Linked DNA regions of Oryctolagus cuniculus. The protein of the gene in region 2 purifies or fractionates together with the protein of the main gene of each other region. This does not show direct contact. Links are inferred from orthologs where the notes say so. Each region holds a gene or a part of one and is shown on either strand. Other genes may lie near its edges.

Region 1 (3,812 bases), on a different chromosome or scaffold from region 2:
GGCTATGGGCTCCTGAAAGTTACTGCCTTATACTATCTTATTTACTAATCTTTCTCAGTGCTCACTCTGTACTCATGTGCTGTAGCACATGGTAGGTGTTCAATAAAGAGTTGTTGAATATATGAAAGCAATGAACACTCCTAGCTGATTTCTCTCTTCTGTTAGGAATTCTCAATTCTGCTCTCAAAACAGTTATTCAAAGGTAAATGTTATGAATAACAAGAATTAGAAGAATTTAAACAACACTTGCAACTAGTTATCCAATTTGTATAATTTTTCCAGGGATATTTTATTCACAGTGCATTAGGTACTTTACATAACTCAAATGGTCCAGATCAAAGCTGTATACTCACTTAAGAAAGATGGTCTTTCATCCGGATTTTGTGCCCATCCACTTTCTATCAGAGATATCATAAGTGCTCGATGAGGTATATCAAAAGGTAAACTTTCTTCATTAGTGTCAGGTCGATGTCCCTGTGACACACTATACATAATCTGCAATGGATTGGTGACTTCTGTCCAAAGAACGTATTTAATTTATTAGAAATACATTAAAATCTAGCACATTAAATACTAAAACTAGGCAGATGAAAATGAGTAATCTTAAAATTTTAGGAGTAATAAAATATATTACCCCTCCTTGGTTAAAGGAATACATATATATGAATCCAAGTCATTACCAGACTTGTCAGCCTTCCAGGAAAGGAGTTTACATCATCATTAATTCTGGACTTGATAATGTTATTTCACTTTGTTAATGGTATATGAGTAGAACAGAGTCAGGCAGAGCTCTGTATAGCTGAGTAAAATGTGACAGAGCCATGAAAGGCTACAGCAACCAATATCTAACTAACCTGAAGGAGAAATAAAAATATTGGCAAACTATGCAACCTAAAGGTTTAATAACCAGAATCTACAAAGAGATAAAGAAACTCCACGACATCAAAACAAACAACCCACTAAAGAGATGGGCCAAGGACCTCAACAGACATTTTTCAAAAGAGGAAATACAAACAGCCAACAGACACATGAAAAAATGTTCAGGATCACTAGCAATCAGGGAAATGCAAATCAAAACCACAATGAGGTTTCACCTCACCCCAGTTAGAATTCTGGCTCACATACAGAAATCTACCAACAACAGATGCTGGCGAGGATGTGGGGAAAAAGGGACACTAACCCACTGTTGGTGGGAATGCAAACTGGTAAAACCACTATGGAAGTCAGTTTGGAGATTCCTCAGAAGCCTAAATATAACCCTACCATACAACCCAGCCATCCCACTCCTTGGAATTTACCCAAAGGAAATTAAATTGGCAAATAAAAGAGCTGGCTGCATTTTAATGTTTATTGCAGCTCAATTCATAATAGCTAAGACATGGAATCAACCTAAATGCCCATCAACAGATGACTGGATAAAGAAATTATGGGATATGTACTGTATAGAATATATACAGCAGGAAAAAAATGAAATCTGGTCATTTGCAACAAAATGGAAGAATCAGGAAACCATCATGCTGAGTGAAATAAGCCAGTCCCAAAGGGACAAATATCATATGTTCTCCCTGATCGGTGACAACTACTGAGCACCTAAAAGGAAACCTCTTGAAGTGAAGGAACAATGACTTGATCAGCCCTTGTCCTGACTGTTGAGGAACAACTTAATACTTTATTCCCTTTAGTATTTTTTTGTTCTACTTAATACCATTGGTTGAACTCTTTAATTAACACACAATTATTCTTAGCTGTTTAAATTTAACTGAAAAGTGATCCCTGTTAAATATAACAGTGGGAATAAGAGAGGGAGGAAATGTACAGTTTGGCACATGCTCAATCGGACTTATCCCTAATGAGTTAAAACGGTGCCAGGGGATTCCAATTCAGTCTCATCAAGGTGGCATGTACCAATGCCATCCTACTAGTCCAAGTGATCAGTTTCAGTTCATAATTAATCATAATGATAGGATTAAGTGCTAAAGGGATCACATAAACAAGACTAGTGTCTGCTAATACTAACTGATAGAATTAAAAAGGAGAGAATGATCCAACATGGGAAGCGGGATACACAGCAGACTCACAGAATGGCAGATGTCCTAAACAGCACTCTGGCCTCATAATCAGCCCTTAAGGCATGTGGATCTGGTTAAAAAGCCCATGAGAGTATTTCAGGCATGGAAAGCCAAGACACTGTGGCAAAAAACAAACAAAAACAAAAAAAGAAAAACCTAAATGAAAGATCTCTGTGAGTGAGATCCCAGTGGAAAGAAGGGGCCATCAAAGAAGGAGGTACCTTTCTCTGAAGGGAGGAGAGAACTTCCACTTTCACTATGGCCTTGTCTAAATAAGATCAGAGTTGGCAAACTCAAGAGGCTTCCATAGCCTTGGCAGCTCATGACTAGAGCCTCAAGTGATTACATCATAAGTAAGAGTGTCAATTGTTAAATCAACGAAAGGAGTCACTGTGCATTTACTCCCCATTTAGGATCTCTGTCCTTAATGTGTTGTACTATGTGAATTAACGGTATAACTGGTACTCAAACAGTACTTTATACTTTGTGTTTCGGTGTGGGTGCAAACTGTTGAAATCTTTACTTTTATGGCCAGCGCTGTGGCTCACTAGGCTAATCCTCTGCCTGTGGTGCTGGCACACTGGGTTCTAGTCCTGGCTGGGGCGCTGGGTACTAGTCCCAGTTGCCCCTCTTCCAGTACAGCTCTCTGCTGTGGCCCAGGAAGGCAGTGGAGGATAGCCCAAGTGCTTGGGCCCTGCACCCACATGGGAGACCAGGAGGAAAGCACCTGGCTCCTGGCTTTGGATCCGTGCAGCACGCCGGCCATAGCAGCCATTGGGTGGTGAACCAATGGAAGGAAGACCTTTCTCTCTGTCTCTCTCTCATTGTCTAACTCTGCCTGTCAAAAAAAAAAAAAAAAAAAAAAAAAAAAAGAAATTTTTACTAAATTGATCTTCTCTATATAAAGATAATTGAAAATGAATCTTGAAGTGAATGGGGTGGGAGATGGGATGGTTGTGCGTCGGAGGGAGTTTATGGGGGGAAAAAGCCGCTATAATCCAAAAGTTGTACTTTGAAAATATATTTATTAAATAAAAGTTAAAAAAAGAGTTTACTTTGTAAGCTACTGAGATTTTGAGGTTGTTACATTTGAGCAATATGACCTTATACAAATCTCAAAATAAAGAAATAAACAATATTATTAGGGAATGAAAAAGACAGATTATTCTTCATTGTTTACTGTTCTGTATAAAATAGTTAAGTACTGGAATGGGTGCCGGGGCACACTAAGTTAATCCTCTGCCTTTGTTGCCGGCATCCAATATGGGCGCTGGTTCTAGTCCCGGCTGCTCCTCTTCCAATCCAGCTCTCTGCTGTGGCCTGGGAAAGCAGCAGAGGATGGCCTGGGTCCTTGGGCCCCTGTACCCGTATGACAGACCAGGAAGAAGCACCTGGCTCCTGGCTTCGGATTGGCACAGCTCCGGCCGTTGCGGCCATTTGGGGAGTGAACCAACGGAAAGAAGGCTTTTATCTCTGTTTCTCTATCTCACTGTCTGTAACTCTACCTGTCAAATAAATAAATAAATAAAATCTTTAAAAAAAAGTTAAGTATTAAGTATTCATATAGTTTTAAAGCTGGAATGGATCTTGCAAATAGTAATTCAATACTTGTTTTGTCGATGAGGAAAATGAGGATTCTAGAAATTCAGTGACTTTATCATAGACTTAATTACTGTCAGAGCAAGAATAAGGAAACTATATTTTTGGGACTGGCATGGTGATATAGTGGATAAAGCTGCTACC
Region 2 (4,349 bases):
ACTTACTAGTGAGTCAACTACTGATTTTAAGGGGCTGGAAGACAGAACTGACTGGCTAAGAAGTGCCTCCCTTGTCAGGGGAATCTGCCCCATGAAGCGGCCAAAGCAAGATCCCCTTGGAGTGGATCTCCCCCAGCTGGCTTGGTGTCCAGAGGCTGGGAGGACGGGGGTGATCTCTGTCCACGGGGTGGCCGGTGGTGGTTCCCGATAACACTCGAGTTTAAACAAGAATCCAAGCGAGTAAGTCTTGCCTTGACAAATTCTCTAGCACAGGCCAAGAATCATCAATGAATTGGGACGGCAATGGCTGCTCACCTCTCATCACAAGGGTCAAGCTGGCCCTCAGTGAGCATCCGTGTTTTCCTAGAATGAGCTCAGGTCTTGGGGACAGATGGAAGGAGGCCCTCTGAGTGACATGCAAGTGACTTCCCCAGGATTGCAAAGGATTCAGGTCTTGTGAAAGCTTCCAAAACGCCTCAGCACAAATGCAGATTTTACCTTTTCTAATTCCATCTTGCCTCAGTCTCCCAAGAAAGAGTCCTATGAGGAACTAGCAACTTAAACTTCAAGTCCTAGTTTATGTCTTGGGTATTGAACAAATATTGAATCCTTTTGGTAATTCTGTTTAAGAAAACACCAGGGATCACACATACACGATAAATACACTCCCCCTACCCCCATACCTACTTGACCTCACTATTTACATTCCTAATGTCTAAATGGAACAGGGCTGCTGCTCCCACCAAAGTGACTGTCACGAACTGGGGAGGTTCCGGCGGGGATGTAGGCATTGCCATTGGCAGGATCTGAGCTCCTCCACCCCCAGATTCTCCCTTGTCCTTGGTCACTGAAGAAAGAGCTGCTGTCACAGGGCCAAGAGTCAGGAGCAAAACAGGAAGAGCAGGGCGTGGTGGCAGGGGAGCCTCACACGTGTGGCCACACCAGTTCTGACAGCCTGTCCACGGCCCAGCTTTCCAGGAGGACATATCTGATGGGGGGGGGGGGGGGACATGGTGGTGGGGCAGAGGTCTCAAGATAAAGGGCCGCTTTCTCGGGTCAGGAAATCTATCCCCATCGCCCAGACAAACCTGGATTCCAGAGCCATGGCCTGGCCATCAGCCACGAGCTCCCACATCAGAGCAGCCACATCCCCAGGGGGAAGAAACCACGGCTTCACAGGGGAAGGAACCGGGGGGCCTCCCCTGGGGAAGGCAGCAGCAGGGCCAAAGAGCAGGGCAAGGGCCTTCAAGGGAGGCAGTTTCTGGACAAGCATCCCCGCCCCATCGTGGCTGTGCTGTTGCAGCCCCGCTGCACGGGTGGGAAAAAGAGCTGAGACTCGGACCCGTGTTTGACAGACACCAAATCCTCAAAAGTCAAACCTTCTCAGAACCTCTGAGCCACCCCGCTCCTCTTTTGGTTTAAAATCTGCCCTTTGCATTTGCTTGGCATGAGCAGTAGAAACCGGTCCCTTGTCAACCCCACTGCTTGCCTGGCTCACAGCTACCTGCAGCTGGACCGCTCCCCCGCCCCCAGGTGAGCATAGGCCCCTGGCCAGGTGCCTGCTGGCTTCTTCCAGGGCCTGGCCGGGATCTACTGGCTTCCCCGGCCCTGCCTGAAAATACAGAGCAAGCAGGACATTCTGAGAGGATGGCAACCTGGTATTCCTTAGCTTTCTCACAAAGCCCGCGTGCACAGCCCAGGCTTCTTAGGGCACGTGGGACAGCAGATCCCGACACCCATGGTCATCTCCCTCCTTGGGGGGACCCCGGCTCCAAGGCCGAGCAGGCGGGGCTTCGTGAAGGCCCCTGTCTGCCCTTCCTTCGCCTTGGTCTCCAGATCCCATTTTTGGCGGCAAACGACACGAAGGTGTGAGCTGACCACAGGTCAGCCCCACGTGTGGACACTATAACCCCGCCTTAGCCCCCGGTGAGGCGAGGGTATCCAGAAGCTCATGGAAGATGGAGCTAAATAAGTTTTCTGAGACTCATGCACATGAGGAGTCTTCAGAAAGTTCACGAAAAGTTGTTATGAAAAAAAACACACATGGCTTTCAAAAACTGCACCGAAATAAATTTTTAAAGAATATTTGTTTTTCCAAGAACGTTCTGAAACGCTCTGGGGAGCGAGTGCCTGACACCGTCAAGCATCCTTCCCCACCCCACCCCGGGGTGGGGGGGGTTCTGGGCCCTGTCCCGCAGCTGTCCCCGCACCTGTCCCCGGGCAGCGTGGCCGCCAGCCGCACGCAGATCCCGCCTCCCCGCGCCAACCCCCGCCGCAGCGCCGGCACTTACGTGGCAGCCAGGTCTGAGGAACTCCCTGCGGCCGGGAGCCAGGCCGGGCCAGCGTGCGGGAGCGCCGGGCGCCCGCAGCTCCGCAGGGGCAGGGCCGGCCCGGAACGGGAACTGGCGGGGAAGGCGGCGGGGCCGGGCCCCAGAGGCCGGCGCGTTCCTGGGAGAGGCCGAGGCGGCGCGCTCGGCGTGGGAGGCCGGGCGGCCGCGGTCAGCCCCCGCCCCCGACGGCGCCCAGCTGCGGCCGCAGGACGCGGGACGGCGGGCGGGCAGGCGCTGGGTGCCCCGCCGCGGCCGAAGCTTTCCCCCTTCTGCACCGCCGCGTGGCCTCGCGCATTCCCGGTTAGCAGGGTTTCAGGCGAGGGTCCCCGTCGCGGCCCGCCCACCCTCGTGGGCGACTTCCTGCCCTCCTCGGCCGAAAGCCGGACGTCGCCAGCGGAACACGGGCGGGAAGCAGCGCGGACTCCGGGCTTCACCTGCCTCAGAAACCTGGGAGGAAAACCAGACAAGTTCCCTTTTCCGCCCGAGTCCGGCCTTACCTCCCTCGCTGCTGACCCCTCGCGTTTTGAAGGGCGCCCGTGCTATCTCTTGATTCGATTACTGTCATCTGCAGACCTTTTTGAATCCGCTTTCTAACCCGCCTGTAGCGCAGAGGCTCCCCAGGCGTGGCTGTGTCTTGCACCTCGGGCTCTGCGTGTGGCAGGAAGGGCGTGGGCGCCTGGCCTGGGGCCGGCTGGGGTCCCTCACGGGGATGAGCGGGCAAATGCAGGAGCGAAGCGGGACCCGGCCCGCACTGCTGGCCTCGGAGCTGCACTAGGGCGCGGCCCGCGCCCTCTGGGCTGGATTCCCCCCTGGGGAGCCCGCGGAAGCACTTTGCATGTAGTCTCATGAGACCCGTTTTGGAATTCTGACCCCCGAAACAGTAAGAAGACACATTTGTGTCTTAAAGCACTAAATTCAGGCAGCAATAGGAAACTAATAACGCCATCTAGTTAACGTCTTAATTTTAGCAATAATATATTCACTTCTAGTGTATTAATATATAAACCCATTTGTTATTAGTATATTCTAAGATTTTTGGTTGTATTTCTAGCTATCTTTATCATTTTCAATAGTCCCTTGTTCTTTGATTATCTCATCAAATTTTTTAAAATCTCATTGTTATTTCTGGTTTGTTTTTACACTTTTCATTTTGAGATGACTGTCAATTCAAGTGAAGTTGTAAGAGATAATGCAGAGGGGCCGGCGCTGTGGTGTAGTGGGCTAAGCCTCTGCCTGCAACACCGCATCCCATGTGGGTGCCGGTTTGTGTCCCAGCTGTTTCTTGTCTGATCCAGCTCTCTGCTATGGCCTGGGAAAGCTGAAGAAGGCCCAAGTGCTTAGGCCTCTGCACCCTTTTGGGAGACCTGGAAGAAGTTCCTGGCTCCTGGCTTCGGATGAGTTCAGCCCTGGCCATGGCCACCATCTGGGGAGTGAACCAGCAGATAGAAGACCTCTCTTTCTGTGTCTCTCCTTTGTCTGTAACTCTGCCTCTCAAATAAATAAAACCTTAAAAAAAAGAAAAGAAATGAAGAACACAGAAAAAGCCCTAGATCCTTGAACGAAATTTCCCCAGTGGTGACATCTTGCAAAGCCATAGTACAGTAGCTCAACCAGGATGTGCCGTGAATAGTCAAGATACCTGTGTCCAGCACCACAAAGATCCTCATATTATCCTTTTTTTAAATTTTATTATTATTATTTTTTTTGACAGGCAGAGTGGATAGAGAGAGGCAGAGAGAAAGTTCTTCCTTTTGCTGTTGGTTCACCCGCCAATGGCCGCCACGGCTGGCGCGCTGCGGCCGGTGCACCGCGCTGATCCGAAGGCAGGAGCCAGGTGCTTCCTCCTGGTCTCCCATGGGGTGCAGGGCCCAAGCAGTTGGGCCATCCTCCACTGCACTCCCTGGCCACAGCAGAGAGCTGGCCTGGAAGAGGGGCAACCGGGAAAGAATCCGGTGCCCCGACCGGGACTAGAACCCCAGGGTGCGGGCACCGCTAGGTGGCGCCGGCTCATGTTATCCT

The links.
Region 1: the proteins of NOD1 (region 2) and RIPK2 purify together in Homo sapiens (affinity purification with western blotting; 4 studies listed by BioGRID and IntAct, with this or other methods). This does not show direct contact. The link is inferred for Oryctolagus cuniculus from reciprocal best matches to the Homo sapiens genes NOD1 and RIPK2.

What each region holds. Positions count from the first base shown.
Region 1 is NC_091437.1:115,018,316-115,022,127, reverse strand, and holds part of RIPK2 (receptor-interacting serine/threonine-protein kinase 2), read right to left. Parts: intron 516-3,812; coding exon 354-515; intron 1-353.
Region 2 is NC_091447.1:21,785,366-21,789,714, forward strand, and holds the start of NOD1 (nucleotide-binding oligomerization domain-containing protein 1), read right to left. Parts: upstream 3,088-4,349; 5' UTR 2,828-3,087; intron 2,801-2,827; exon of another isoform or gene 2,292-2,800; intron 1-2,291. UniProt on the Homo sapiens protein: Pattern recognition receptor (PRR) that detects bacterial peptidoglycan fragments and other danger signals and thus participates in both innate and adaptive immune responses.